Diceros bicornis minor: one gene and its partners. The protein of the gene in region 2 purifies or fractionates together with the protein of the main gene of each other region. This does not show direct contact. Links are inferred from orthologs where the notes say so. Each region holds a gene or a part of one and is shown on either strand. Other genes may lie near its edges. The genes, in order: CCNY, CDK16 and CCNYL1.

Region 1 (9,828 bases), on a different chromosome or scaffold from region 2:
GTTCGCCTGTTCACTCAACAAACATTTACAGAGTGTCTTTAAGGTATCAGGCACTATTCTAGATACTTGGCTTCTTCAATAAACAAAACAAAAAATATTCTATTGGAACTTACATGCTAGTAAGTATAAACAGTTATTATTATATATGTATATACTAATATAGTATATTATAGGTGATATGGAATAAAGAAACAGCATTGCAGAAAATGCATACCAGGATTGCTGAGGGGGCAGCAGGAGAGATGTTAAATGGGGCAACTGGGAAGGCCTCACTAAAAAGGTGAGACTTGAACCAAAACTGAAGGCGGTGAGGGAGTTAGCCCAGAGGATACACGAAGAAGAGCACTCCAGGCAGAGGGACAGAGCAAAGGCCCTGGGGTGAGAGCATATCTAGTGTGTTCAAGGAACAGCCTCGAAGGACGCCAGTGTGGCTGGAATGAGCTAGTGAGTGGGTGAGTGGGGAGGGCAGGCAGGTCACAAAGGGCCCTGGAGTCCACCAGAAGGACTCCACTGTGGAAGCTCACTATAAGGCTTTCTCACTCAATGTGAACTAAGGAGTCACTGCAGTTTTTGAGCAGAGGAGTGACGTGTTCAAGTTTTTAAAAGGATCTCCCCGCAGCTGCTGTGTTGAGAAGAGACTGCAGTGGGCAGGGTAGACGCAGGGAGAGCAGTGAGGCTGGCAGAGACGATGGCTGCTGAGATCAGAAGGGCAGCAGGACAGGTTGTAGGAAGTGGTCAGACTCTGGATCTAGTCTGAACGTAGAGAGTCACGCTTTTCTAGCGGATTGGACACGGGATGAGGGAGAAATTGGGTTGCCAAGGACGACGGCTGATCTACAAAGGAAGAAGTTGCTATCAATCATTTTGAGACAAAACCCCAAACTGACACTACGGTACACATGTTACAGATATCCCGATTTATTTGGTCTCATCGAATCTTAAATTCTCTTTAGTCCATCTCTCTTTTTCTCCTCCCACAGAAACAATCTAATCAGGGCAGTCAGCCTGTTGCGGATAGCGAAGTTCCTTCTCAGAGAAACTACAGATATGACCACAGTGACAAACACCCTACCCCAGAAGCAGCCCCAGACTAGTTAACGTTTGATGGCTAGTCAAGCAACAACAGTTTCCATTTATCATTTACTGGCTGTATGACTTTGGGCAAGTCATTTCTCCTCTCTCTGCCTCATTCCTTTGTCTTAAAGTAAGGATACTACTACTCGTAGGGTTATTGTGAGTACTAAATGAAGAGATATCCAGCACCAAGAGCAGCAGCTAGCACAGAGTGGACAATATATAAGGGCTGCAACTGTTACTATCATCGCTGTTAAATGCTTTTGTTACTTCTCAATCTTGGAATGATTTTATGAGAAATAATACCTGGGGAGCTGAGGAGTCTAATATAAATCTTAAAAACATGAACAACCTAACACTAAGGTACCCTAAGTACAAAGACAGGGCAAGTTGCCAGTAGGTGTCATGGAAGCCCAACTGCCCTAGCTCAGTCATGGAAATTCTACAGAACAAACATCACCCACTGTGTGTCTGGGCATGGAAAACACGGCTACATACCTCATGTCTCTGTGATTTTAACAAACTGACCTATCACGATTCAGGAAAGAGTAGCATCAACACAGACATTTTAATTCTGTCCTTGATTATGAGCCTCTGAGTGCAGAAGAACAGAACAGCCTCTTGAGCAGGCATGTACGTTGGAGGCAGGTGAGGTAAGGGATAACTTACTTGCCAATTAGACTGAAAAGTTAAGGTATAAGTTGAGAAAAATATCTCATATAGTGAAATCTACTACTGAAAACTGCTTCTCTGACCTTTCAATTCTAGTTGTCTGGGATGTTTTCCAGGATATCAGAAAGACGGTATTTGAGCACTTCAGCTTTTGTTACAGACTAGAATCAAGAATCAAGGATTCTTGAGATGTAGTTTGAAAATGTTTACTAATCATCTAACAATCAAAATAACTCAGAAATTAAAATATAGATATATATCTATATACTATTTAAACAAATCTGTTCACTTCTCCCAGCCTGACACTGAATGAATTTCCACCGACAATGTCCCTGAACAACAGGTAACACTTCCAAGACATACCCAGCTAGTGATTCTCAACCCTGGCTGTATCCTACCTGAAGAGCTTTAAACATACTAATGCCAAGGCCTAGCCCTAGATTTCTGGTTTAATTGAAACCAACGTTGAGAATTGCTGGATGGGTAAATCCTAGAAGAGTTACTTAACGAATTTGGGAGAGAGAGAGAGAAAGCATTCCTTAAATGGTGAATCAGTATTTCCAGGTTTAAACTAGCATTCATCTGAACTGGGTTCTGGGGTGAAAGGATACTACAGCCTAGATTAGAAATCCTCTTAACCTGCCCTATAGTCTCTTTAACTATCCTGCATCTCCAAAACAAGAGTTGGTAGACTTCCAAATGTTTTCTCAAAAATGACTGATGACCAAAACTTAGATTTCTTTCAAATGAAAGAACACACAATACTATTCTATTTTTCTCTGGCAAAATCCTTCTAATCCTTAGTGCCATACAGCTGGTTACAATTACTTTTTTTTTCCCTGTTTTTCTTACTATAGTCAATAACATCCTGCAGCCTGGCTCTAAGAAATGTGATTCTTCCTTTTTGTATTTTTTAAATCCAGTATTTAAACCTAAAGCCTCTACCCAGTATTCATGCCCAACATAAAGGAGAAATTATTTTCAAATGTTTTTGCCTGTCAACATTGTATAAGACTGGGTAATGGCTTTCTATAATAACCTCATTTATTCATGCATTCTTTTAAAATACTACACTTAAGTCTTTTTTATATGCTAGACACTTCTTTCAGGTGCTTGGAACTACAGCAGTGATCAAAACAGATCTGGCCTTAATATCCTTCTAGATGCCTTTAAGTGCATGAATTTAAAAATAAAGCATGGCTGTAGTTCAAAAACATCTAAAGAGTAGGTTAAGATAATGGAAGTCTAAAATAACAACACTAGAAAAGTCATACCAAACCATAACTTACTGAGCGCCTACTACAAACCAAATGTTGTGTCAGTCTCTTCATATATGGTACTCATTTAATAAAGGTGCTGTCCTATAGAGATACAATTACTATTCAGAAGAAATTCAAGGAGGCCAAACAATGAAAAAACTCTTTCCTTTAGTAGAGTTTAAATTTGGCTTTCCACCTAAAGTCAGAGGAAATGCTCCATCCTAAAGTCAACAACAATGAATTATGATCGAGTTGTGTCAATGCATTCATACGACATTCAGGTTAGTTCAATTACATCAACTGTGAGAAGATTTGGGGGTTAAAAAAAGAAAAATCAAGTTGTCATAAAAATATATTTCCAATTTCAAATTTTTTAAAGTTGGGAATTATGTAAACTGTATTTCAGGCATGATGCATAAACTACCCATCTGTAGATATTCAGTCACGTAGCTTATTGATATAACAGTACTAATACAGATACTCTAAGACCAATAAAGTAAATAAACATTACTAGGTGCAGTGATCAGTCCGTTAAGTTCCTTTACAAACACTAGTCCAAACCAAGTCACTCAGCTCAGAAATTCACAGGACTGTAATTCGGTTCTAAGCAAAAACGAGGTGACTCAACCAAAAGCTGTCTCCAAACCATTCTGATAATACTCTAAAGAAATTTTTTAAAAGCATTCAGGTGAGGCTATTTGCCTCCAATCTCTCAACTTCCCAAAAATCCTTTTTTTTTTTTTTCGTTTTTAACGGAAATGGGGGTGGCGGACAGCCAAGTGGGGTCAATTTGTAAGTTTCCGGGGCGCTGACACAGGCCAACCCTGCTCTCCAACACTAGGTAGAGACTGTGATTCCAAAATGGGAATTCGCTCCTCAGTTATGCCAGGGATAATCCATCCCCTTTGCCTTTTAAAGGGCAGACGAGCTCACCCTTCTCGCGCATAACTCGGCTGTGGCTGTGATCAGATAGACAGAGCCTGGAACCCGGGCCCCCGGCCGCCCCCGCCCCGGCCACTCGCGCCGTCCCCACCGACCCTCACCCGCGGTTCTCCCGGGCCGCCGGCCGGCCGAGTCCCCCCGCCGCTCCCTCGGGGGTCCAAGCCAGGGGCCAGGGGCGGCCGGGGGCCGAGCGCCCGGGGACGGGGCCGGAGCAGGCTGAGAAAGCGAAAGAGCCGGGCCGGGGCGCGGGGTCAGGAGGGCGCGGCGGCCCCGGCCCGCCCGCCCGCGCTCACCGTCGATGTTCTCCCGGTCGCTGATGTGCTGCAGGTTGCAGCCCGTGTCCTCGCGGCTCAGGTCCGTGTCGGCCCGGTAGGACTCCAGCCGGGAGTGGGCATTCCTGCGGAGCTTGGGGCTGGACGACACGCAGCACGAGGTAGTGTTCCCCATCTTCGGCGGCCCCCGGCTCCAGCGGCGCTCGCCTTCCTCCGCGGCCCGGCGCGGGGCGCGGGCGGCGGGGGCGTGGAGGGGAGGCCCGCCCGCCCGCCGCCGCGGGAGGGGCGGAAGCCGCGGCCGGCCCCGGGTCAGCAGCGGCGGCGGCGGCGGGGCCTCGCCATGGGCGGCGGCGGCGGCGGCGGCGGCGATGAGCGGGCGGCGGCCCTGGCTCCCTCGGCCTCCGCGCGCCCGCCCTGCCCGGGGCCTGTCCGCGCGAGGAGCGCCCGGTCCGCGCGAGTGCGGCCGCGAGCCCCGCTCAGCCCGCCGCGGCCATGGCGGGCGGCGCCGCGCAGGCCGCCTCCCCCGCGCTTCCCGGCCGGCGCCCGGCCCCGGCGGCTGCGACGCCTCGGCGAGAGGTTCCGGTTCAGGCGGCGGGCGCGGGTCCGCGCGGGCGGGCGGGCGGGCGGGCGGGCGTGGCGCGGCCCTGGGCCCGGCGCGGTGCGGCAGCGAGGATGCTCGCCCTCCCGCCCCGGCGCCGCCCCGCCCCGCCCCGCCCGGCGCCGCCTCTTCCCGCTGCCCTGGAAGCAGATGAGCGGGCGCCGCGCAGGGGGGCCCGGCGTCTCGGTGCCCTCCCCGGTCTCCGCGGCCACCCCGGCTCGACGCTGTGACGAGAGCGCCGTGCGCCCCCGCTCGCGGGGCCGCAGCGGCGAGCGCGGCCGGGGCCGGGGCCGGGGCCGGGGCCGGGGCCGGGCGGCCTGGGGGCGCCGAGCCTCCCCTGCTGCTCCCGGGAGGGGCTGTTTTTTCTTTTTTCTCTTAAACGTTTTAAAGGAAGCCGGACGTTGACTGGGAGTTCTTGCTTCTGCTTTGAGCTTTGCCGAGGACTTGACGGGGCCCTTGTTTTAACCCTGGAGTAAATCTTGGGGCCCTGGGCTCCTGGGATGTCGACTTAGCTGCAGTGTTTTGAGTTCCTTGGAGGTTCATGTGAGGTGGAGACAGGTAACTTAGCGTCAGCTGTCCTTGTTTGCTTTTAAAATGCTGTCGGGGTTGTCGGGCCGGGAGCGGTCTGAACTGAGGCCACTTAACTGAGGGAAAGGACGCGACGGGGCCTGGCTCGTGGGGGATCCTCAGAAAATCGTGGGTTCCGCTTCCCTCCCGACGCCCCCGCGCCCGCCATGCTCGGCCGGGAAGACTGTTGGCTCCCGCCTGCCTTGGGAAGAGTGTAAGGTGGCGGAAACGACCTGTCCCCCCTTTCCAGATGGTCACTGAGGGAGTCATGAGGAGGGGCTCGGGGGAGGGGGCGTTTGAACACGACAGAGCCGGTACATTCCCCTTAATTGTAAGTATAGGGAAGCTGAGGTCCAGAAAGATGAAGTGCCTTGATGGACCCAAGGCCTCAGGCCTGGTGTGGCGACAGGCGCGGGGAGAAAGGAGTGAGGGAACGGTGTGCGTCGAGCGTCAGCGGTGTGGAGGTGTCTTGCCAGAGGCTTCATACACGGTACTTCCGTTGATTCTTGACGTGTCTCCTTTCTGTCACTGTGCTCTCCCTCTGTCCGGCGGGAGTGTTTATACATCTATGAGTCCGTATTTTAACAAGCTCCACGACCTGAACCGCAGTAACGCCCTTCGGTGGGCTAAGTGGTGGGCGTCCTTGAACCCAGGTACAGGGCAGCGCAGTGCTCATGCGGACCAGAGGGGGGAAACGCGAAGGAAGTTCCCGAGAACTGCGGCCCGGAAGAGGCGGGGAGGTAGCGGACAGACAAAATAATGCGGTCTGTCATTGCTGCAGGGAAGTTTGGTTGGGGCGGAACTGCAAGTCCGGGAATGTGTGGACTCAGATTTTCAGGGCTGCGGTGTGTGGGTAAGATGGCTGAGGAGCCGAGAGGGGTGACCCGATCGTCTGCTCTGATTGCTGTCCTGTAATTTGGGCGCTATAAGCATCCAATCACCGAACATACCTACGCCGGCGCATTGTCATTTTTATTTCATCATAAAATTTGTAATATTTGTGTTAATGATATAATTTGAAGGGCTTACCGGGAGAGACAGCATGGCACTTGTGGCGGGTCATCGGGCAGTGTTAACTGGAAAGAGCATCTGGAGGTGAGGGAAGACGCGACTGGGGGTAAGGGTAGCCACAGACTCTTGCCAGAGGAGGGGACCCCCGCTCGTCTGCAGGGACTTTTCTGTCCCCCCACCACACCCACCCCCTCTTTGAAGTTCCTGCCATGTTCCCTTTAGGAATGTACCTGTTGGGTTTTTCAGGAGTGTGACTTTTGGTCAACAGGCCTGGGGGGTGGAGATAAGTGCTGAAGCCTCGCCAGTGATTTACCTGGGTGCCAACCCCCCACCCCACCCCCTGTACACATACACACACACTTCAGACTCCTCCAGGTAGAGATGCGTCCTGCTTGACACACAGTGACATTTTAGGAAAGGCTGCAGAGGCAGTGTGATGCCAGGATGATAATGGACGGTGTCATTTATGAAACACCTGCTAGATGCTGAGCATTTCTTAACATCTAATCCTATGCTGTTATCTCCCATTTTACAAATAAAGACACTTTAATTCTGATAATTAAACTCGTCTAAAGTCAGATTACTGAGAAATGGCCTACCTGGGGATTTGAACCTTGGTTCCCATTACAAAGTCTGTGAGGCCCCCTCTCAGCTGCCCCCACCGCCAGGTGTCACTGAACAGAGGGGAGCAGGGAAGCAAATTAGAGTAACGAGAGAAGAAATCCACAAATGTTTTGAGTGGAAAAGAGACAAGTGTTGCTTCTCTCCTCTTCTCTTTTCTGTTCTCTTTCTGAGAGACTGCTTAGGACTGGTTCCAGACTTGAAGAAGAGAGGGGAGCCTTTTTATTTCTGTGGGGCCCAGCCCTCCTGACCACAGTGAGTAGATAGGCAGCAAGGTCGAAGAGAGACGTTCCGCAAAAATACCATCTGCATTTAGTCACAGCATCTCTGAGACTGTATCACGTGGAAATGTGAATGCAGGGACCCTTCCTCAGTGTGCATCTAGCCCAGGATTGGGGCTGGTGGGGAGAGGGAAGCTGTCCTCAAAACGTTCAGCCTGCTCAGAAAGACTCAACCTGATCTACTCATACCTCAGCCTGCTCTTTGAGCAGCAAGAAACATCTGGGAATAATTTTCCTTCATCTTTCTTCACAAGCACGATTTGAGATTTTGGTTATTGTAAAGAGGTAAATATGGAACTTGTGCAAACTAGCTAAGGCAGTGCTCTTCAAACTTTTTTTTTTAGCAGTCATAGCTTTTTTTAAAACAAAATTTTCAATGGAATCAAAATATTTAAAACGTATAAGCAATATCAGTATTAATTTATAAGATCTACTTATAGAAACAAATCAATGAGAATAGGCTGCCTTCGGGCCGGCCCCGTGGCTTAGCAGTTGAATGCGCGCACTTCGCTACTGGCGGCCCAGGTTCAGATCCTGGGCGCGCACCGACGCACCGCTTCTCCGGCCATGCTGAGGCCACGTCCCACATACAGCAACTAGAAGGATGTGCAACTATGACGTACAACTATCTACTGGGGCTTTGGGGAAAAAAAAGGAGGAGGATTGGCAATAGATGTTAGCTCAGAGCCGGTCTTCCTCAGCAAAAAGAGGAGGATTAGCATGGATGTTAGCTCTGGGCTGATCTTCCTCACAAAAAAATTTTAAAAAAAGAGAGAATAGGCTGCCTTCATTGAATCAGGGGGAGCATAATCACAGTCTTCCTTCAGCCACACTCATATCCATGAAATATGAATCAGTCATCTGCACATCTCCCTAGAACTCAGAAAACACTGAGCCGTTAACCCAGGACCTGGACCTTTGCTCAAAAGAAGGAAAATGGAGGGCCTGGCCTGGTGGCATAGTGGTTAAGTTCGCACGCTCCGCTTCAGCAGCCTGGGGTTTGCGTGTTCAGATCCTGGGCGCAGACCTACCCACTGCTTGTCAGGCCATGCTGTACCAGGTGTCCCACATAAAGTGGAGAAAGATGGGGACGAATGTTAGCTCAGGGCCAATCTTCCTCCAAAAAAAAAAAGAAGGAAAATGGCTGGAGTTTCAGAAGAACCTACTCAGAGTGCCCTTTCCTCATCACCTGGTAGCCAGTTTCCTGTGTCAGTTACTTAAACACGTGTAGGCAGTTGTGGACTAACCAGGGCCTTTGTGTACCACCAGTGCTCCAGTGCTCTTCCTGCACCCCTCTTATTTTCCTGTGACTCCCAACCAAATGAGGCCTCCCTTTAGTCCTCAGTGTAAGCAGTCCACAGCATAACCAGCTATCGGGGAAGTAGTTACTTTGATAGCCACTTGACCTTGACTAATGTAGGTGATTCACTTATTGATAAAACATTTCTTGAAAGTGTACTGAGCCAGGCACCCTGGGGATACAAAAATGGATAAGAGATAGTTCTCACCCTAGAGAAACTCATAGTCCAGTAAGGTACACAGTCAAAAGATGAGATGATTGGAATAAATAGATGGTATTTATTCCTATGAAGTAAAGAATTATACCCAGAGATTCTGTGGGAACGAAAATTTCCAGAAGCAATTAAAGATGGCTGGTAGATTTAAACACCAATGCCAAGTCTTTTGGAGCAGAGTAACTGCCAGAAACATTGTGTTGAGAAGGATTCTGAGGTCATGTTCCAGCTCAAGAGGGAAGAACGCTGCCGTGAAGAAGGGAGGAGGAGAAGATGGCACTTGTGGCACACATTTCCTCTCCGTGAGTAAAACCCTCGTTTACAGAGTAAACAACGAAGAGGGGACAGCCACAGTCACTAGGTATCTGGGCGAAGGCCCACTTGGAAACTGTTTTCTCTGCCTCACCACTGAGAATTCACACTTGTCCCCGTGCTAAATAGCCTTAAGTACAATCTCTCTCTTGCCAGACTCCATCTTCTTGATCCCTCCTTGCTTACCAAGAACAGACATGGTAAATGTCTGTGTGGTCTCTGAGAGCTAGGATGTGCCTTTGATAAGGCGAATTCCAGCATCTCACAGGTCAGATTGGGAGAGGCAGCTGCTTCACTACCCAGTGTCTATTCTCCCATCTCCCTTAGTACCAGGCCCTCCATTTTGTGAGGGCCAGCAGTATGCCCACCTCAAAGACTACAGCTGGCCACGTGACTAAGTCTGGCCAATGACCTGTGAGCAGAATCTTCCAGGAAAGCTCTCTGAAGAGGCTTCCTCTTTTCTGCTTCTTGGAATGTGGGCATGATGGCTGGAATTAGATCTAGCATGCACTTTTGAAAACCAGGTGACCTTAAAGATGGAAGCCATGAACTAAGGTAATGTCTCTGTACTCTTCTTTTACATGAGAAACTTGTATCAACCACTGTTATTTTGAACTCCCAAGTTATTGATCTGGCCAGGATTTGATATTATCCTCTGATACAGTTTTATATATTCATGTTGTCAGTTTTCACTGATTGACCCCC
Region 2 (10,565 bases):
GATTTGCCAGTTTGGATCCTGGGCACGCACCAACGCACCGCTTGTCAAGCCATGCTGTTGGCGGTGTCCCATATAAAGTGGAGGAAGATGGGCATGGATGTTAGCCCAGGGCCAGTCTTCCTCAGCAAAAAAGAGGAGGATTGGCAGATGTTAGCTCAGGACCGATCTTACACACACACACACACACACACACACACACACGCACACCAGGTAAAGTGATGTTGCATCTATTTTTTTATGTATGTTTGAAAATTTCTATGAAAGGTGACAGGAACTAAAAACGAAAATAACTTTTTTTGTAATAAACACATCACACGTGTGAACAAGGGTGTACCCTCTTAGAGGTGGCGTAGCCAGAGCCCTACACGACCTGCCCAAGCTGTCTGCAGCTGTCCTGTTTCCCACAGGCCCCCCACCGGCAGCTCCATTCCCCAGATCCACTCACTGTCAGGAAGTTTGTGGATCCGCTCCCCCAGACTGAGGAAGAATAGATGTTTCATGGCGTCCTCTGCGGAGATCCGATTGCGACCTTCAAACTGAGTGGGGGGCGGGGGTGTATGTGTGGAATACTGACACCTCCAATGAGTAGGCCTCTCTTCCTCCCCACTCCAGACCCTGCCCCTGGAACTCCGTTTCCCTACACCTGGAATCCCTTAGCCCCCAAGGCTGGCCCAGGAAGATGGTCTCACCTGCAGCAACTTGGTGAGGAGATCAGCCCCATCGCTGTCAAGTCTACCACAAGAACAAGGGGACCTGCTTTAAATTGAGTTTGGGCACTCTGGCCCCTAACACCCACCTACCCACCAGCCTCACCGGGGTGCATGGCTCAAAAGGGCCTCGGCTCGGTACTTGGGGTAGTTGTATGTCTTGAACTCTTCATTGGACAGGATGCCCGGCCATGTCTCCTCAGTTGGGGTTCCTGGAAGGGAAGAGGAGTTACCCTAAGCATCTCACAGGGTCTCCATGCATGTCTCCACAGCTCCTAGGGCTTGTGTTTCCTCACCCAATATGCGGAAGATGAAGTGCAGCTGTTCCTCCACTGTGGAGCCCGGGAAGAGCGGCCGGCCTGTGGCCATCTCATAGAAGATGCAGCCCACACCCCTGGGCAGGGAGGGCACAGTGAAGAGGGAGGCAGTCGGCTGGCTGGCTGTTGTGACTGAGCCACCCCCTTTACCACATGGCCCCTGCCACACTTCCACCTGTCCTCACCACATGTCAATCTGGGTGGAGTAGTCCGTGGACCCAAGCAGGATGTCAGGGGGCCGGTACCACAGTGTCACCACCTCATTGGAGTAGGTCTTTGTTGGAATTGACTTGGCCCGGGCCAGGCCTGGTAGGTGGAGAGAAGGGGCAGCTGGAATTGAGGAGGTCCTGGGAAGTCTGGGGGAGAGTGCAGTTGGTACTGAGGGCGTCCTAAGCAAATCCTGGAGAGGCTGAAGGGGACTTAGACTAGGTGGTCATGGGAAAGGGGGAGACCAGGGGTACCAAAGTCGGCCAGCTTGAGCTCTCCTCTCTCATTGATGAGCAGGTTCTGGGGCTTGAGGTCTCGGTGTAGCACCTTCTGCCGGTGGCAGTAGGCCAGGCCACGGAGCAGCTGGAACAGGAACAGCTGGGGACCCAGGAATGCAGGCAGAGGTCAAAGAGTATCCAGCAGCCTGACACCCAACAGGCACTGCTCCCCCTCCCAACACAGACACTGAGCCCAGGGCCTTGTCTCACAAAAGAGGGCAGGGTCCCAATGCCCTCCAAGGGCTCCCAGCAAAAAAGCCAAACGGGAAAAGACCGTTTCTGGGAGATTTGTGGGGTAGAGTGGGTGAGTGGGGGCCCCCTTGTGCCCCTGCTTCCTGCCCCACACCCACTTTCACGTTGTGCATGTTGATGACATTCCCACAGTCATCCAGGTACTGCTTCAGGTCCTTGTCCTAAGGAGAGAAGAGCAGGTAGAGGAAAGAGGGTCACATCCTGTGGCTCCTGGCCATCTCCCCACCTCCCCCTGGGACCCACTGCCACCCAACCTTACCAGGTACTCAAAGACAAGGGTGAGTGACTTCTCTGTGTGGATAATGTCGTGTAGAGTGACGATGTTGGCGTGTTTGAGGTCCTTGAGCAGGGACACTGCAGGAAACATGGGGGTGGGACAGGGGAAGAGTCAGCGCCCCACCCTCAGGATAGAGGCGAGGACGAGGACCAGACAGGGATGAGCCCAGGGTTTCCTTCTTTCCCAGTGCAGTTTGGGGTGGCGGCTCACAGCCACCAGCTCTAACCCACCCAATGCCAGGAAGGTGTGTCCCCATGTTCCATATGTGAAAACTAAAGCTCAGAGAAGAGTACAGAGCAAGAACCTGGGACTGCAGCCCCAGGTTTATGTGACACTAGATTGTCACAATCCGTTTTTGGTTTTTGGAAAGGGGCCTTGCTCCAACCCTCAGTACATAAGCCTGCAGCTTCATGTGAAACTGAGTTTGCACACTCAATTTTTATGCAATTCAAATTCACTCCATGTGACAGTCTAACTAGAAACTGTTGTGTCAGTAAATTGGTGAGCACTTTCAGGGGTGCTCTTAGAACCAAAGCAAGCACACTGCTTTCCAATTCATCTGCCTCTTCTCCAAACAGGAAGAGATTCCTGGTTACCTTGATTATTACCTACATATGTGGGTGATGGGCACTTTCTCACGAAGCTCAGAGTGTCGGGAAGTCCCAGAACCCTCGAGTCTCTGTTCTCACTATGGGGGGTGAGTGCTTGTGCCACGGAGAGAGCCTGGGAAGCCTGGGGCAGATTTTCCCGGATGTCTGTACCTTCCCGGATGGCGGTGCAGGGTGCCCCCTCTTCGTGTTCCAGTCTGATCTCTTTCAGTGCCACAAGGTTGTCTGTGAGCTTGCTTTTGCCTTTGTAGACGGTGGCATAGGTACCCTGGGGTGTGAAGAAGAGTGACAGGAGAGGAGCTTGAGGCTACAGGGAGTTCCCCCTGGCCCCCATCCCCACCATGGGCCTCCTGGCTGTTCCTCACCTCGCCCAGCTTGTCCAGCTTGATGTAGGTCTCCAGTTTCCCAAAGCCAATCTCGGACTGTGGGGTAAAGGAGGCTGGTTGAAGCAGGCTCAGGGGAGGGGACTGGGTGGGGGTGGGGGTGGGGAGGAGGAGGAGGAGAGGACAGGAATAACAGATGCTCACCAGGCTGACACGGCGGAGACGGCGGCTGAGGGGCTTGTCGAAGATGGGGCTATTGAGGGTCAACTTCTCAAGGTAGCCCTCGGGCAGCCGGATGTCGGCTGGTAAAGATAGGCGCTTGTTGATGTCCTAGCAGGCAAGATGGGGAAGAAACGGGACCATGAGCTCCACCTCCCCAGGTCCAACTCTTTTCCAGCCCCACCACCATCCAGACAGGGGGTTAAGCACCTCAGTGGAGATCTTGCGTGGGGGATGGTTGCGCATGCGCACCCTCACTGGCGACTGCACCTCATCCGAGGACGTGGCTGAAGCCTGGTCACTTTCCCCGTCAGAACCCATCTTCAAGTCCTCGTGTACAATCTCTGGTAGTGGGGACAGGGGGAGGGCAGGCCAGGCAGGGTCAGGAGCCCCAGGACACCCCGTCTCCCACAGAACACATTCCCTCATCACACATGTATGCACAGGGCCCCTGGAGCAGCCTGGAGACCCTCAGGGAGAGGGTGGCAAGGCCCAGAGAGGTTGACAGGTCAGGACAGGTTGAATGGGGGGGGAGCAACAGTCACCTAGTGGAGCACCCTGTTCCAGGGGCAAGCTGAGACTGTGGCTGGCCCGGAGCCAGGGGCTAGGCAGCAGCAGAGGTAGTCAAAGGCCCTGGGAAGGCAGGCCTAGGGTAGGCAGGAGCCAGGAGACCTAAGAGGGCCATCGCAGAGCACAGGAGAAGGGCAAAGGGAGGCTTGGGGCAGCTGCGGCAGGCAAGGCACCCTTCCTCCTGCTGAGGCCTGGGCACAAAGCCAAGGAAAGGGGCACAGATGGACAGATAAAGAGACGGTGTTGAGAGAGGATGGCAGGGAAGGGGGAGAAAATGGAGAAAGGAAAATGAAAATAACACAAGTCTAAGAGGAACTCAGCTGGGAGGCAGCACCTGGGGACCAGTCTGGGGGTGGGAGTGGTCAGTGGACCCACCTGGTGCAGAGCTGAGCGGGCCCCGTGCAGAGCGAGGTTCCCCAGGGGCGACACGTGTAGGGGCCTCTCCAAGGTCACTGCCACCACCACCGCCACTCTCATCCAGGCCTATCTGTTCCGGGGCACCATTGGTCTTGTCTACACCTCGGCCCCCTCGGAGTGTCATGGACAGCTGCCGTTTGATCTTCTTCATCCGATCCATGGCGACCTGAGCAGGGAGTACAGATGGGAATGGGTCCCATGTTAGCATTTGCCTGACCACCACGGGCCTCCTAAAACCCATGACAACCTAGTAAGGCACATTGACGTGAACTTGTGTCAATGCCCACCCAACCACTGTGGAGCCCTGGAATCACTCAGGATTCCTGGAAGCCTGGCATGGATGAGGACCCTCGCCAGTAACTGCTCACCTATGGCCAGCCCCTGGGTACCCTGTTCCTAAGTAGCCCACCTGGGTACTGAGGCTTGGGTGGCTGGCTGAGGTCAAGGGCCCAACCGGTGGAGTGTTGGCCTCTATGGGGGCAGCCTCACTGTGGGAGCAGAGGGCTCCACAGCAGGCATTCTTGGGTGCAGCGGCAGCGATGGACTCAGCCATGGGTGGAGCGGGGGGCTCGCCCAGGACCGAGGGACCACAGACACGGCCCCGGGCATGCCCATAGAATGGCATGTCCCGCTGGCACCAGCCCCACGTCACCCTCAACTGCCAAGGCAGAATGCTCCCTGCAGCCACAAGGACTCTCCCGCCTCCCCCAGCAACCATCGTCACGGTGACTAGTGGACTACTCCACTGGTCTACCCAGGTGAGGGGTGCAGGGAGGGGGGGTCCTGCCCAGATCCAACCACTGGGTGGGGTTGTGGGGGGATCTCAATGCACAACAGCTGTCCTGAGGGGCTGCTGGAAGAGTTCAATCAGGTGGGGACCCATAGGCCACCCAGATTTTTATAAGCCAGGTCACATTTCTCCTCTACTTGAGAATGCACATCTCCTTTATCACCCCAAATAAACATCCCAGTCCTCAATGTGGCCCATAAGGTCTTATCCCGTTCACCCCTATTACCTCTCTAGTGTCACCTCCCCCTCGATCATTGCTAGCTGCTGTTCTGCAAGCACACCCAGCAGTCCCACCTCAGGGCCTTTGCACCGGCTATTCCGGGTACTTGGAATACCCTTCCCCCAGATTTCAAAATAGCTCGCTCTCTCACCCCTTTCAGGTCATTGCTCAAAAACCACCTTTTCTATGGATAACCCTCCATGAATAACCCTATTTAAAATCTCAACAATCCTGAGGTCCCTCACCTTGCCAATTTTCCCCCCAGCTCTCATCACCTCCTCAGAAATAACACCATCTACTTATTGGCTTCTTTATTCTTTACTGTCTCCTCACCGCCATAACTAGAAGATCAGCTCCGCCAAGGTAGATTTCTGTTTAGGTCATGGTTATATCCTGAGGACCTGGAACAGTGACTGACACAGAGTAGATGCTCAAAAAGTGCTTATGGCAGAAATTAATGAATCAGGGGGCTAAAGGCCTAGGACTAACCTCTACCAAAGTGAGCAGGGTTGAGTCCCTGCTACTCATGAACAACCCCAGACAAGGTGGCCCAGGGACACTAGCATCAGCAGATGACCTAGATGGGGCTGCTAGAGGGAACACGGCCACCAAAAGGCTCAGGCCGGCCTTCTTCTGCTTCCTCCTGGGCTCTGAGCCAGCAAGGAGGGGGAAAGACCTGGCCCAGGAACCATCTGGACTCACAGCAGGGCCTAAGATGGCCCTGGGCCCAAGGGAAGTGGAGCTAGATAGGAGGTCGAGGATGAGGCTGGGGCTGGATTCGAGGAGAGAAGTGGGTCATCTGTTACCTTGAAATCAGATGCTTACCCTAGAGGTCCCCACACCCCCTGCCTGACCTCACCACCCCCAGGAGGGGTAGGGGGCCAGCCTAGCAAGACCTCAGTAAAGAGGATGAGGTCCATCCAGAGAACCCAGGATAACAACAACAAAATCCTGACCCAGGAGGCTGAACACTGGACCTGAGGCTAAGGTGAAACATGGCCAGCCCCCAAAGACTGTCTTGTGTCCATATGGCACGGATACCCAGTCGCTTTGCCTGTTGTAGCAGGGAATGGGGGATCTGGAGGGGGCTGTAAGTAGGGCTAGATCGAGGATGAGGAGGGTGCCAGAAAGAGCCATGGGTCCATGACCTCTAACTGGAAACCCCAAGGGCTGGACACGTTCCAGAGTTCAGTTTTTTGGGGATTTTAGGAAGATGGAGTACAAAATCTGTGTATCATGCACCACCCCCAGCAGGGGGGCGCTGGGCAGCCCCTGTGAACAGAGACACTTGAACATTAACATGCAGTAAAACTTAAATAGTATCGTTTCACTTTTCTGAGCTTTTTAGATTTCAGAATAGTGAAAGAGGGAGCAAGAAACTGGATACAACTCCACTCAAAAAAGGGCACACATGCTTCCTGACCCCCGAGGACACGTAACCACCCTTAGAATACTCTCACACCCAAGGACACTCACCACCTCACACCACACTCACCACTGAGGCCACAGTCATCCCACTCGACTAACTCCCACAGGAACACACCATCCTCCTCCTGTCCGGACTCCCATAAGCACACACTGGACCCTCACAGTGTTCTGCTTCTTTCAGTACACACTGGGCCCTCAGAAGTCCTCTCTGCATTTGAACTGCTATCAGCACCTGCAATTTCCCTATTTATCTCTAACATCCATCAGCATACAAAGCCCCAGCAGAACACTCAACTCATTAGCATACACTCAGGCCCCTCTAAGTTAACTCTTACCACCATTTGTGGGCACCTCCCAGGTCCAGCCGCCTGTTAGCTTCTCCACAGCACTCACCCCCCCATCAACACACTGTTCCCCCTACATGATTCTGACCCCTATTAATATGCACTTGGGACCCTCTACAGCTGACCCACATTAGCACTCACTGGACCTTCACACTGCCTTGAATCCCATTAACACAAAGTGAACCTTGAAGATCCCTGACCTGTTTTTTGCCCACACTCAGACCCCTCCACAGCTATAACTATCATTAACATGTATTCTGGTCTCCTCACTACCCTATTCCTGCCCCCACCCCACACCGCCTCCCCTCAGCACAAGCTGGACCTTCACTTCACCCTGACCCCTATTATCACACACTGGGCCTCACACAGTGCCTTCCCCATTAGCACACCCTGAACCCTTACTCAGCCCTATTCCCCGGGGACACACAAACACACTGTTCTATAATGGCCTGACCCTCATTAGTGAACAAAGGTCTTGATTCAGCCCAGACTCCCCTTAGCACACACGTCAGCCCTCCATGGCTCTAATCCACCTGAGCACACCTAGACCTTCACATATTCCTGTCTTTCATTTCTCTTTGCTTCAACTCCTCCACAGCTATAACCCCCGTTGGTTCACACTTGGACCCCTTCCCAGCCCTGATCCTCCTTATTGCACACTAGATTCCCTCCACAGCTCTACCCATTAACACTCCCTGGAACCTCAACACACCCCAGTCCCCCATAGACACAAGCACACACACCCGTCTTCACAATGTTCTGACGCTCATTAGCATATTCCAGGTCTCATACTGCTGACTCTCCTCCCATTGGCACACACTTAAGCACCTCCATGGCTCTAAACCAACATTAGCAGTCACTAGAACTACATATATCACCCCACCCCTTCTTAGCGCGTTCTTGAATCTCACATCCTCTGTCCTCATGGACACACACACACACTGATCTCATACCATCTTGATCCTTAATACATTGAACCTCTTACAGTGCTAAGACACTTCTCTTCCATTGCCCCGTCCCCCAATATATCCACAACTCTGATATCCATCAGCACAGGCTCAGGCCTTCCACCACTGTCCTCATTCGCATATACTGGGCCTCATACTACCCAGACCTTTATTACCAAATGCGCCTACCCTCTACAACTATGACCCCTCATTAGCACATTCTCAACACATGAGTTCTTCCACTATCCTGCCCTTCGTGAACACACTCTGGACCCTCACACGCTGCAGTACCTCATGGACAAATACACAGTATTAACACCATCCTGACCCTCATTATCACACACACAGGGCCTCAGAGTTCTGATCCTAGTAGCACACCTTCTGGTACCTCTACCACCCTATCCCCCATTAACACACACAGGGCCTCTCTACAGCTATAACTCCATTTGCATGTCTCAGCACTCCTCTGACATCCTCTCCCTCGGGTCCCTCCACCGCCCTGCACTGCACCCCCACTAGAACACACTGGGCCTCAAACCTTACACAGCGGTAAGACTTATTACCACATGCTCCGACTCCCATTAGCAAACCTGGAGTCTTTTACCACTGTGCCACCCATTTTCACACCCTCTGGTCCTTCGATCACCCTGCTCCCCATTAGCTCCCACGGTACTGCCCATCCCCAGCTCCCAGACCGGGCCCAGGGCGGGGCCAAGGTCAGGGAGGCCCCGAATGACCCCCCGCCCCAGTGCATTCTGGGAAATTCGCTGGAGGAAGGGGCACATGCCAGCGGTGCAGTCCAGAGCCCTGGGCACCGCCCGGTGTCTGAGTTGTTTCTGTAAGAGGAAAAGCAGCCCCCACCCCACGTCTCGGGGACGCGCTCACCGGCGGGGGCGCGCGAGCAACCTCAGCGCCGCGAGACCGGCGCGGCGGCGCCTGGGGCGGCGGCCTGGGTTGAGGCCGCGCGACCTCCTTCTCCTCCTGTTCGCCGCAGGCGCCCGTCCCAGTAGTCTTCGGCCATGGCTGCTGGGCCCGGGCCGCCGCCGGCTGAGGAGGAGGAGGCGGCGGCGGCGGCGGCGGTGGCTGAGGCGGAGGCGGCGTCCCGCTCAGCCGGCCATGAGCTTGGCCGCTGCGGTCGATGCCCCCGGGCTCGCTGGCGCCGGCTCGAATCCGAGAGCTCACGGCGGCTCGCGGCTCAGAGCCGACTGCTCGCGGAGACGCGGCGGATCCCAGGGCCGAACAGCCAACAGCCCAACCACCGCGCGCGTCGCGCTCCACGCATGCGCACGCACACGCTGGAAAGGGTGAAGTGGGAAGGAGGGGACTCACCTCGGACTGCATGTACCAAAAGACCCGGCCGCAGCGGGAGGGGGCGCGGCCATTGCGCGCACACCCGGGAATGTGGCGCTGGCCCTGGAACGGCACCAGGAGGGAGTGTAGAGGTTATTTACTACTCAGTTTCGATCTTGCTAGAAGTTTGCTAGCGCCGAAGTGGGCAGCAGCCGGGAACCAGCGTGCCAGTCACCACTCGCTCCCCCTACTAGGTCTCAATTGGTACATCCCCATGGTGGCAAACGGGACTTTTGCAAGGAGGAAAAAGACAGATGAGGCAGTCAGTCCCAGTCTCCTGAGGTGCCTCGGGAGGCAGGAATTTTAAAGGTTCGCGAGAAGATGACTTTTCTAGGAGAGGTGGCCTGGAGAATCATTGGCCTTTACCACCTTAGATAGGACAGAATCTAGCCCCGCCCAGCTGCCTCTCCCCCGCCCCCGCCGCTAGCTGGTTCCCACTGTGAACGTGTGCGGCCCCGCCCTTTGAGGTTGTCGCCCAGCCAATCGGATTTGCACCCTGGGTGAGGCAGAGCAAGAATGAAGGGCGTGGCTGGGCTGAAGAGGCGTGACTTCGCTGCCCCCTACCACGCCTCTGCCGGGTTTTCATGGGTTTTCACCGTCGTGGGGCACGGGCCCTCCTTTTTGTTCTGAGCTCCTCTGTCGCTATAGGCCAAATATCCCGCAAGATGATTGGTCAAAAGAGCGTTCAATCGCCTTTCGTCCCGCCTTTAACCCCCTCCCATCTCCCTCAGCGAGGCTCACGGGGCAGAGCCTAGGCTGAGAAGAGAGGAAAGGCGGACCTTTAAAGGGGCGAGTGCATTACTGCGCATGCTTGGGACTTTGGGTTGGGAGGGTGGCTTTTCTCCGCCTCACGCGAGCGTTTGCGTAAGCACCCTGAATTGGGTTTTCCTGCCACTTCTCAACTACCTTTCCTTGCCCGCCAGAGCCCCGCCCGTGGCTCCCCCGGCCCTGCGGTTTTCTATTTTATTTATTGGGCGCCTGTTGTGTGTCAACACTGCCAGGCAGACCTAATCCTTCACCCCTCTCTGCTTACACCAAGCCCAGCACAAATGGCGGCAGCATTCGGGGGCATCTTTACACTGCACCCCAGTCCAAAGCCAGCTTCCCCGCCTCTTCTGGGCTTCCCTTTATAGAGGCCTTGGTCACACCAGAGTTTTCAGTACGATTCATACTAGCGAGGATTTACCGGACCATGATGGGAATGGAAATATTTGACAAAGAAAAGTCCACCGCGGGCTAGATGATCAGGTCCATCACTTCTCTGATCTTATCTCCTACCCTTCCTCCTCTCACTCCACTCCCGTCTCCTAG
Region 3 (9,878 bases), on a different chromosome or scaffold from region 2:
TATTTCCAAAATTTTGCTTTTGAGAATAATGCAACAAAAACTTTGTGAATGTGTGGTTTCATATTTGTGGGTTATGTCTTCAGAATAAATTCCTGAATTTAGGATTTCTGGATTAAATGCATCTGCAATGTTGTGAGATTGCACCAACTTTGCCTTCATGGGATAGAACCATTTTGCATTTCCATCAGTAATTTAAGAATGTAACTGTTTCTTCACAGCCTCACCAAAGAATGCCGTGCCAAGTTTACGGATTTTCTCCCAATAGGAGAGAAACTACAGTATAGTTTTATTTTGCATTTCTCTTATATGTGAAGATAAGTTTAAGGATCATCTGCATTTCTTCTGTGACTTGTCCATCCGTATTTTTTTTAACCTACTTTTAGATTCACTTAAATTTCTTTAAGTCAGCCTATTTTAGGCCCTTATAGTTTTTTGTTCCTCTCACCTGAACTACGGTACCACCCTTGCCTGCGTTAGTCTATTCTCACAGTAGCTGATCTGTTTTTTGTTTTGTTTTGGTAAGAATTAACATGTTTCCCCTGTATATAATCCTCCAGTGGTTTCCCATTACAACTGGACTAAAATCTCTATTTTTTGTCAAGGTCCATTAGGCATACAAGGTCTTAATCCACCTTTCCCTCCTGGCATCCCTTTCACTCTGCTGCAGCCACCCCCACCTCCTTCTGTCCCTTGCCTGCACCAAGCGTATTCCCACCTGAGGAACTCTGCATGGAAGCCTCTTCTCCCACATCCTCACATGGCTCCTGCTCACTTTTAGGACTGCTCATGTGTCACTGAAGGAGAGCAGCTGTCTTTAACCACCCCATGTAAAACTGCCCCCTCCTCAGTGCACTACCCTCCTTTATTTTCTTCCCAGCACCTCACTGCCTGACATTCTTGATTATTCATATGTTGTCTGTTCCTAGGGCCCTCTAGAATGCAAGGACCTGAGTTAGGGTAAGGGCTTTGTCTTGTATACCACTGTTCGTCCTGCATCTGGAACGTGCCCAATAAACATCTCACTGTTTCAGTGTACCCAGTACCCGTTATGTTTCTCCCAATTTTCCCACATCTTCAAAGATTTCTTCTAATGCTGTCATCTGATTTGTCATCTAAGACCAGCATTACTTTCAGATCTCTTAGAGTGGTAGTTATTCAGAACTAAAAACACGAACAGGCTACCAAGAACCACAAAAACCTAAAAGAGGAATTCTAAGGTGCAGTGAAAAATCAATGATAATTTTAATTTGGGATAAGAACATTTAATGTTAAAATACCTTAACTATAAAATGACTCATTCTATGTATTTAATTGTCATAAGACAAAGTATATCATCTGAACCCTACAGGGAGGTACAATGCATCAGTTTTTACCTGTACCCCCAGAATGAAGAATTATAACGGGATTGTGTGCTATTTTAGTATAAAAGAGGCCCAACCATAAAGGGTGGGGAAATGAATGGTGCTCCAACCGTTCAATGGTACACTAAACAGTTACCAAGAGGTGTGTAGCAGAGCTACATGTAGTTGCATGGAAGTACATCCTGGAGCACTCTCCAGGTGTCAAGCACACTTCCAGGAGCTTTATATCATTACTTCTCTTCATAACAAAAAGTTACAAAGCAGCACATAAAGAGTGATTTCATTTTTGTAAAATAAAATGTTATGTTTATACACATACAAAAGGTTCAGGAAGAATCAACACCAAAATATTTATAAAAGTTCTGGACGTTCTGAGTATGAGTGAATGACTTTTCTGTATTTTCTAAATCTTTTCCATCAAATATTTATTATCAAAAAAAGCAAAAAAAAAAAAAAGGTTTAAAATAGCTACCGGAAAGAGGAAAGATCCATTGCTCAGAGGTTTTTCCACATCATATTGCCAATTCCTTCCCTACTCACTCAGTGGGAGGGGGAGGAAGGGGTCACTTGAGAGAGCACCTTTAGCCAGCAAATTAGCAAAGCTCCTGAGGTCAAAACACAAAGGTCTGCATGAACAGTTGGTGAGTAATAATAAAATTAGGTAAGAGGAACCTCACGTCTTATTTTGTTATTGATACTACCACGGGTTATACTGGATACACTGTTAGATAAAGGCGAGGTAGCAGAAAAACTCTTGTGAGTCCATCTGGAACCTACGCTAGGTTCACAGAAACAGCTCTTCGAAATGGCTCAAAGAAGTCATGTTCTTCTGAAATGTTTCAGAAGAACAAGGCAGAGTATCATTTATGTATGATTTCGTCTAAGTAACCAAATAACTCAATTCTTCATTGTACAAGAGCCAAAATGTTTTACATCTAAATAGGTATTTCTCAGTTTCCAGGGAAACTGATATAAAACTGTCTGAAATAAAGACATTAAAAGCAAACTTTCAGTGTGTCTTACTTTATTTTTGGTGGTCTGACCTTGTTTCCATGGAAACTTAACAGGCAAATGCTGAAACTGGTTTCTCTTATCACTTGATTGAATGCCAAAAAAAGGTTTTTTAAAAGACAAATTGAAATGAAATTTTAACTATCATCTTAAACATAAAAAAGTAAATTCTGTACTCATGAACTATATTTTTTCAATTTTTCTGATTTAACACTCCTTATCATAGTCCTATGCTTAATGCTTGGCACCTTATCTGCCCTCTTACCAGCTTCTCCTAATGTTCCTCTGTCCAGGGGATTCTTAGCTTCAATTCGAGGTCACCAGAACAAACTCTAAAATATATCCACTTGTTTACCTGACTGGTAAATTTAGGCTAGTTCATGATTTCTACTTTTATTCTTATCCATTGTAATGAATTTATAGACATAGGATGGAGAGGTGACTGTGGCTTCTGAGTTGTGCACAATGAACCTTGAATGGAAATAAGCCTGGAGTAAGACAGGCCTACCTTATGGATGTTATAAAATATAACATGCATTCTAAAGAGAACTGAATCTGGCATGTCTACCACCTCCATGTCATTCTCTTCTGCTCAGGAGCTGTGTTATACAGACTTTTCAGACCTCTAAGTCTCAGTTTTCTCATCAGCTGTATACAGAGAATACACGCAGACCTTATTTGTAGCTGGAGGAGCCAAATGAGATATACACACGAAAACGTGTCATAAATCTTAAAGGACTATATAAAGGTCCTCTTTTGGTCTCTCATCCAAGACTGCCCATCTACTAACTGGTCTGTAAACACCACTCAGAGGCTTACCTTACAGACCCAGGCAGAGCAGAAGTTTTCACAGGTCCTTACAGGCTTTGTGATTTAAGGTACAATTAATTAATTCACATAATTTGCTCATTCTTTCACAATATTTGAATATCTGAAAAGGGAGTATTTCCCAGTTACAAAGCCACGACCATCACATAGGTGAACTCACAGGCTTAATTATTCTTACTTTTGAAGAAATTAAGAGCCCAACTAAAGTTGAAACAGAGGAGGAGCTATACGACTTTTCCTCCATGAAATAATCTCTGGCATTTAAAAACAAACAAACGGACCCACGGGCTTTAACAGCTTTACGATCCGATGTTTCCTATTTCAAACACAGTATTCATCCAAGAGCCACGCTGTCATCCAGAATTATTTTTACCCAGACTCATCTCTTTCCAAAATTCTAGACGCAAAAATCGAAACACCCTCCCCGCCCCCGGCCGCTCCGTCTGCAGAACTCTCTCCTCAGCGCTCTTCAAGCTGCCCGGGACTCTGCGGGCAGGAGCAGGGGACGGGGTGACACGGAGACACACATGCCCGCGCAGGGCCCGGCACCCCGACTCCCAGACCTCTCCGCCACCCAGAAAGCGGGAGGCCGCTCTCGGGAAACTCGGAGCGGCGGTGTCGGGGCCGCGCTCCCGGCTCACAGAGGGGCCGGCCCGCGTCCGCGCGGCCCCGGCGGGCCCTCCACGGGGGCCGGCCGCGCTCCCCGCTCACAGAGGGGCCGCCCCGGCCGCGCTGAGCCCGCTCTCCCCGTGCTCCTTCCTTCCGTGTTCTGGCGGCAGTCGGGAAGAGCGACGCGCCTCTGGGGCGACGGACCACCCAGGTCCCCGCCCTCTCCGCGGCCCCTCCACCGAACCTGCGCGCCGAGGACCCCGGGGCGGGGCGGACACGCCCGGGTCGGGACCTCAGGGTCCGGGTCCGGGGCGAAGGCCCCGCGGGTCTTCACACGGCGGCCACCCGCGGGCGGGCCGTGGGGCGGGCGGGGGAGGGCGCGGTGGACGCGGGGCCGGCCGCCGCCTACCTTCGGGCATCTCGCGGTCGCTGATGTGCTGCAGGTGGTGGCCCTCGCCCGCCCCGAGGTCCGCCTCGCCCGGCTCCACCGCAGCGGGCGCCGCCGCCACCGCCGCCGCGTCCCCGGCCGCCGCCTCGTAGCCCTCGGGCCCGCAGTCCCGCGCCGCCGGCCCCGCGCGCCGGCCCGGCTTGGGGCTGGCATTGGGGGACACGCAACAGGTCAGCGTGTTGCCCATGGGCCGCCCGCGCCTCGCCGCGCCCCCTCCCCCACAATGGCGCGGCCGCCTGGCCCCGGCGACGCCCGCCGCCCGCTGCCCGCCACGCGCCGGCCGGGCAGGGCTGAGCCCGCCGCCCCGCGCCGCCGCCCCGCAACGACCAGAGCGGACGGCGGCGACCGGCCGGCTCAGCGAAAAGGGGTGGGGACCCGACCGGCGCTGGAGGCGCAGCCACTGCCGGGAGAGAGCGCGGCCGCAGCTCCTCCTCCTTCCGCCGCCGCCTCCCGACTGAGGCCGCTCGCCCGGCGGCTGCCAACCGCGGCGCGCCCCGCGGTCACCAGGCTACGGCCGACCAATCATGCCCGAGCTCCCGGCACGCGCCCGCCTCCCAGCCGGGCACGTGACCGCCGCGCCCCGCCCCTCGCGCTGCCCCGCCCGCCCCGCGCGGCGCGGGAGCGGGGTCCCTCAGCGCCGGTGCCGGCCTCCCCCCAGCGCGGGCGCCGGCCTTGCAGGGGCGGCGGGCGGGGGGCGCTCGGGGGGCCGCCCTGGTCTGGACAACGGGCTCCATGGAGGCTACCGGGCCGGCTCGTGAGCGGCCCCGCAGCCCGGCTCCGACAGCGGCTGCCCTGACGCGCCGCTCCCCGGGCTTGGTGACACGTTCGGTGGCCGCTGTGTGACGAGGCGCTCCCGGTCCCGCCTTCACAGCGCTGGTTCCGCCCGCAGCTCGGCCGCAGCACCGGTCCAGAACCGGAACCACCGGTTCCGCCTGCGGCCGTGCGGACGGACTCGGACACGTCACCGCCCAGCGAGCGGGACCTGCCCGCCGCTCTTCCTCCTCCGCGCAGGAGGCCCGGCCTGCCCCCTTCACCCCCCGCGCCTAGAAAATGGGGCGCCGGAGAGGGGCACAGCCCCGCTCCCGTGCGGAAGCTGGGACGACGGTCGGCACCGGGCGGGCCCCGCCGCGCCCCAGCGGGCGCTCACTCGGCCCTCGGAAGGCGCCTCCCTCTACGGAAGAAACGGACGCCAGCACCGCCCCCACGGCCGCCTGGCCGCTGGGGTGCGGCCGGGCCCGGTCCAGGTGTGGGTCCCCGCGGCGCCTCGTCGGCGTCCTCAGGACACGCAGGCGGAAGGACGGCGTGGGCGGAGGCGACAGTGCCGTCGGGGTGTTCCGGGAGGGACGCGTCTCCGGTGGCCTGCCAGGTGTGTCCCTCCCTCGACGCGGTCTGCGCGCCGGCCTGTGGGCGAGACGCTGCCTCCGCGAGCTCCGGCACGGGGGCACGGGGGCACGGGGCACGGGGCACGGGGGCACGGGGCACGGGGGCACGGGGCACGGGGGCACGGGGCACGGGGGCACGGGGCTCGAGTCCCGCCGTCCGAGGCCACCGCCGGAGAGCGCTGCAGCCCGCGATTCCGGCCTCGCGCCCCTGACCCCGAAGAGCGCGCTGGGCAAAGGGGTCGAGTCGCATCTCGGAGACCTGAGAGCGGCCGCGTGCTGCGAGGTCGAGGAGTCCCTGTCGCACGGTGTAGGGAGGTCACTCCACGGTGTGGAGGAGCGAAGGGAGCCAGGACAGCGGCGGAGAGCCCCTCCGTCCACCCCGGAGAGCAGCGGCCCCGCTGGGGGCGGCGCGGGCTGACGCGGAGGGAGAGGACCCGAGACCGTCCGGGGAAGAGCTGGACACTGGATGTGGACCGAGACGCGAGGGGAGCGGCACGGCCGCCCGGGCTCTGGTTGGGGACGGGGTGGGCAGTAGTGACTTTCTCCTGGGTAGAGAGGCAGGACAGGAGTAGGCTTGGCGAGTGGACATCATTTTCGTCTCCAAGTGGACCGTTGAAATGGAGCTCTCTGGTTGAAAGTTGGATATAAACCTCTTTTGACTAAGTCCGTTTTGTGATATCCCAACTTAAGTTTTCGAAAATAACACATATATTAAATCAAACCAGAAAAAGTAATTGGGGAAATTTCCTAAAGTTGTTATGCAAAGAATATCACATTTTTTAATGATTATTTTCATGGAGCAACTTGGAATCTATGGTTTTAGTAAATGAGGCATCCTATGTAAAATAAAACTGTTCAATGAAAACAACGTTTGAAATTGTATTTTTTTAGAGTGTGTAGAAAGTAACTGAAACGATGGTACAGAAGTGATTGCCTTGAGAGGGTAGGTATAACGAGAAAGGAAAGAAAGAAAGGAGACTCAGACAACAGGGAGATTGAGGTGGCACGTCTGTGAAGACTGCAAAGGTGAGCAGTGGAAGTCCAGGGACTGAGTGGTAATGAGGAATGGCTGATCAGGGGAGTCCCAGGAGGGTGGGGGTTACCTCTGCCTCTGGGTTCTGTAACAGGCAGTACCTAGTACAGGGCCTAGCCGGTGGGAACTCAATACGGGATCCCCTGAACAGAGTCAAATGCAGGAAAGCTCCAGGTGCCTTGGCTGTGGCAACCGGGTGACTGGGGATGTGTGTGAGCCAGATGGCAAGCAGGGAGTAAAGAAGTGAAGAGGAGGTGAGAAAGCAAAGTCTGGGACTGAGGGCTTCTCCTAGACATTTAACTGAAAAGAGATGCAGTACTAGTTAGAGGGAGATGGACAGTTAAGGATGCTTATTTTTTAAGATGGGAAAAAATATGAGTATATTTATGTGTTAAAGGGTAAGAGCCAATGGAGAAAAAAAAGTCTGAAGTTAGAAGAGAAGGGAGAATTAACAGAGCAAGGTCCCCAAGAAGGCTGAAGTGCATGCACTCCAGAGCAGGGGTAGCTTAGCCTTGGACTGACAGAAGAGCAGAGGGAGCGAGGACCTGTGTGGCCAGAGACACGTTTCTGGGAGAGTAGAGGCTTAGGAAGAGCTCATGGCATAAGTCCTATTGTTTTCTGCTTTAATAAGCTCTATCTGGAAAGCTACTGTGGGAAAGAGGATAATGTGTAGAGAAGTCTACACTTCAGAAAAGCTTGGTAATACCTAACAAAAATCAAATGATATCTTCCCTCAAAGGTGGATAAATTGACGAGAAATTTGAGCAAAAACCAAGGAGCTCTAGTATAAATAGATACATCACAAAAGTAGAAGATGGGGCTAATTACTTCCCCCAGATAGTTAAAAGAAATAGCAACAACTTTTAGGGAGAAGTAAAAACAAAATTAAGAAGAAAATGACATGTAATTGCAACAAGTATGAATATTCACAACCCTTTAGTCACATAAGGGATCAAAAGGGGGCCAAAAGTTGTGTTCTTCTCTATTAGAAGGATAGCAGGAGGAAAGTCACCTCAAAACTCAGGGAAGCAGGGATGATTAATATTTAATGGAATTGTTTAAAAGATGTAAGTAAGGTTTGGGGATAAAAATAGGCAATATATTGGGGCTGGCCCTGTGGCGTATTGGTTAAGTGCGTACCGATGCACCGCTTGTCGGGCCATGCTGTGGCGGCGTCCCGTATAAAGTGGAGGAAGATGGGCACAGATGTTAGCCCAGGACCAGTCTTCCTCAGCAAAAAGAGGAGGATTGGCATGGATGTTACCTCAGGGCTGATCTTCCTCACCAAAAATAAATAAATAAATAGGCAATATGTTGAAATGTGGGAAACAGGAATGGGAAAGGATTCAGTGAAGTTCAGTTTCAGTGAATGACATCCTGTTAAATCCTTAGGACCTAGTGACTGCATTCTGTGATAATAATGATACCATCTGAAGTCCAAGGAATGTTATTAGATACCATTTTGGATGATTCTTGTAGACTTGAAACAATGCCTAATATTAAGTTACAAAATAGTGCCTGCATTTAACAACAGACACACACAAAAATAGATACCCATGACCTTGAAAATTAAAGAATTTTAAACTTGCTAAGCAGAAAAATATTGGGAAGCATTGTTTTGAAAATATTTTGTTCGAAGAGAGCATTGGAGAGCATTAAGAAAAAGCCCTGTCCTATGACAGTGGCCAGTCTGGGAGAGCTAAGTGAAGCAAATAGGAGTGATGTGGTTTGAATTAAGCCACAGTTTGATTCTGTGACAGAACTTGAGATCTTGCATATGCCTACTTATGGCTGAACTTCCCCTGGGAGGACTTGATGATTAGTGTTTTACATGGGCCTGGAGTAAACTCATTCATTTTATTCATTCAATACCTGAGCCCTTACCACATGTCACACACTTTTTAGGTGCAGGGGATGTTCCTTTGACCAAGATAAACAAGATCCCTGTTCTCATGAAATTTATCTTCTAGTAGGGAGGTCAACAGACAGTGTTGACCGTCACACCTCAGACTCATGGCCCAGGATGGCTATTGAGCTCCAGCTATTATATCTTCATTCCAGACAGCAGAGTGGAGGAAGAGACAAAGGGAGATTTTTTGGAAGATCCACATAGCACAATGCCTTACATATCTTTGGCTTAAAGCTTAGTCACATGGCCACACATAGCTACAAGGGAGGCTCAGGAAATGTAATCATGTAGCTCAGTAACTACTGTAGAACGGAGTACTAGGTAATGGAAGGCACAGATTGTGGCATAGAGTGCTATACCACAATCTGTAAGGGAAGATTAGGGAAGTTTCAACTTAAAGAATGATCGTGATACAATTTCGTAGCCCTTTGCAAGCAAATATGGAAAACTTATACAAGGAGTGCTGTAATGATCTTTTCTTAAAAGTTAGAGGACAAAAAGTGAGAGAGGCTTAAAGTATAGAATTAAACTAGATTAGATGCAAGAAAGATTTTATGGCAGTCAAGTGATCAGGATTATATATTATATGTGAGTTGTGACTAATTGGGTTCCATCTTGAGTATTATGACTAGTTCTTATAGAATAGGATTTTTGTGTGTAAGTCATATGTACATTTTTTTCTGGGCAGAGAGTCTATCGTTATCATCATATTCTCAAAGGTATATGTGAACAAAAATGTTAAGAACCACTATTATACCTGATTTGACATGAAACGACTGATTTCCAACTTCAGAAAATTATAATCCAGATTTCTCAGTAAGTGGAGCATTCAATGGTGCTGGTACTCACATTTTAGGAAACTGTTCAGTGCTTCTTCCACCCGTCTCTTTACACGCCTTCTGAATTATTCTCTCACCTTCTTTCCTCATAGCATATAGGTTTCTTTCTGCCAATTGAGTCGGGTGAGATGAGAATATTAACTTATTTGACATAATGCTCTGAAAACAATAAAAATGGTGTTAGTTTGCCATACCATTAGGGCAGTTAATGTTCATTGGACAGGTCAGTTCTGACCCCAATATCCACTGTCATTACAGTTCCAAACCACAGGGCATCTTATGAGACAAATTCTAGGAAGGGCCTGCAGTTCTGAGACTGGACTTTCCTTTGCCTTCCTGGGCCTCTACTCTTCTCTGTTTAATGGTTTATTTGCTTCCAGATCCATTTGTCTACATGCTGTAGGAGATCTAAACTCTTTCTCAGCCACTGCTAGTGTGGCCTCATCACCTCCAAGGGT

What was found.
Region 1: the proteins of CDK16 (region 2) and CCNY purify together in Homo sapiens (affinity purification with mass spectrometry; 3 studies listed by BioGRID and IntAct, counting the BioPlex papers as one, with this or other methods). This does not show direct contact. The link is inferred for Diceros bicornis minor from reciprocal best matches to the Homo sapiens genes CDK16 and CCNY.
Region 3: the proteins of CDK16 (region 2) and CCNYL1 purify together in Homo sapiens (affinity purification with mass spectrometry; 4 studies listed by BioGRID and IntAct, counting the BioPlex papers as one, with this or other methods). This does not show direct contact. The link is inferred for Diceros bicornis minor from reciprocal best matches to the Homo sapiens genes CDK16 and CCNYL1.

Annotation. Positions count from the first base shown.
Region 1 is NC_080775.1:33,111,165-33,120,992, reverse strand, and holds the start of CCNY (cyclin-Y), read right to left. Parts: upstream 4,844-9,828; 5' UTR 4,395-4,843; coding exon 4,241-4,394; intron 1-4,240. UniProt on the Homo sapiens protein: Positive regulatory subunit of the cyclin-dependent kinases CDK14/PFTK1 and CDK16.
Region 2 is NC_080781.1:41,022,314-41,032,878, reverse strand, and holds the start of CDK16 (cyclin-dependent kinase 16), read right to left. Parts: upstream 4,816-10,565; 5' UTR 4,801-4,815; coding exon 4,585-4,800; intron 4,342-4,584; coding exon 4,134-4,341; intron 3,533-4,133; coding exon 3,399-3,532; intron 3,300-3,398; coding exon 3,174-3,299; intron 3,069-3,173; coding exon 3,012-3,068; intron 2,915-3,011; coding exon 2,800-2,914; intron 2,116-2,799; coding exon 2,021-2,115; intron 1,923-2,020; coding exon 1,860-1,922; intron 1,610-1,859; coding exon 1,486-1,609; intron 1,331-1,485; coding exon 1,210-1,330; intron 1,102-1,209; coding exon 1,004-1,101; intron 920-1,003; coding exon 814-919; intron 754-813; coding exon of another isoform or gene 733-753; coding exon 690-732; intron 537-689; coding exon 446-536; intron 1-445. UniProt on the Homo sapiens protein: Protein kinase that plays a role in vesicle-mediated transport processes and exocytosis. Regulates GH1 release by brain neurons. Phosphorylates NSF, and thereby regulates NSF oligomerization. Required for normal spermatogenesis.
Region 3 is NC_080749.1:84,555,991-84,565,868, reverse strand, and holds the start of CCNYL1 (cyclin-Y-like protein 1), read right to left. Parts: upstream 4,613-9,878; 5' UTR 4,445-4,612; coding exon 4,219-4,444; intron 1-4,218. UniProt on the Homo sapiens protein: Key regulator of Wnt signaling implicated in various biological processes including male fertility, embryonic neurogenesis and cortex development. Activates the cyclin-dependent kinase CDK16, and promotes sperm maturation.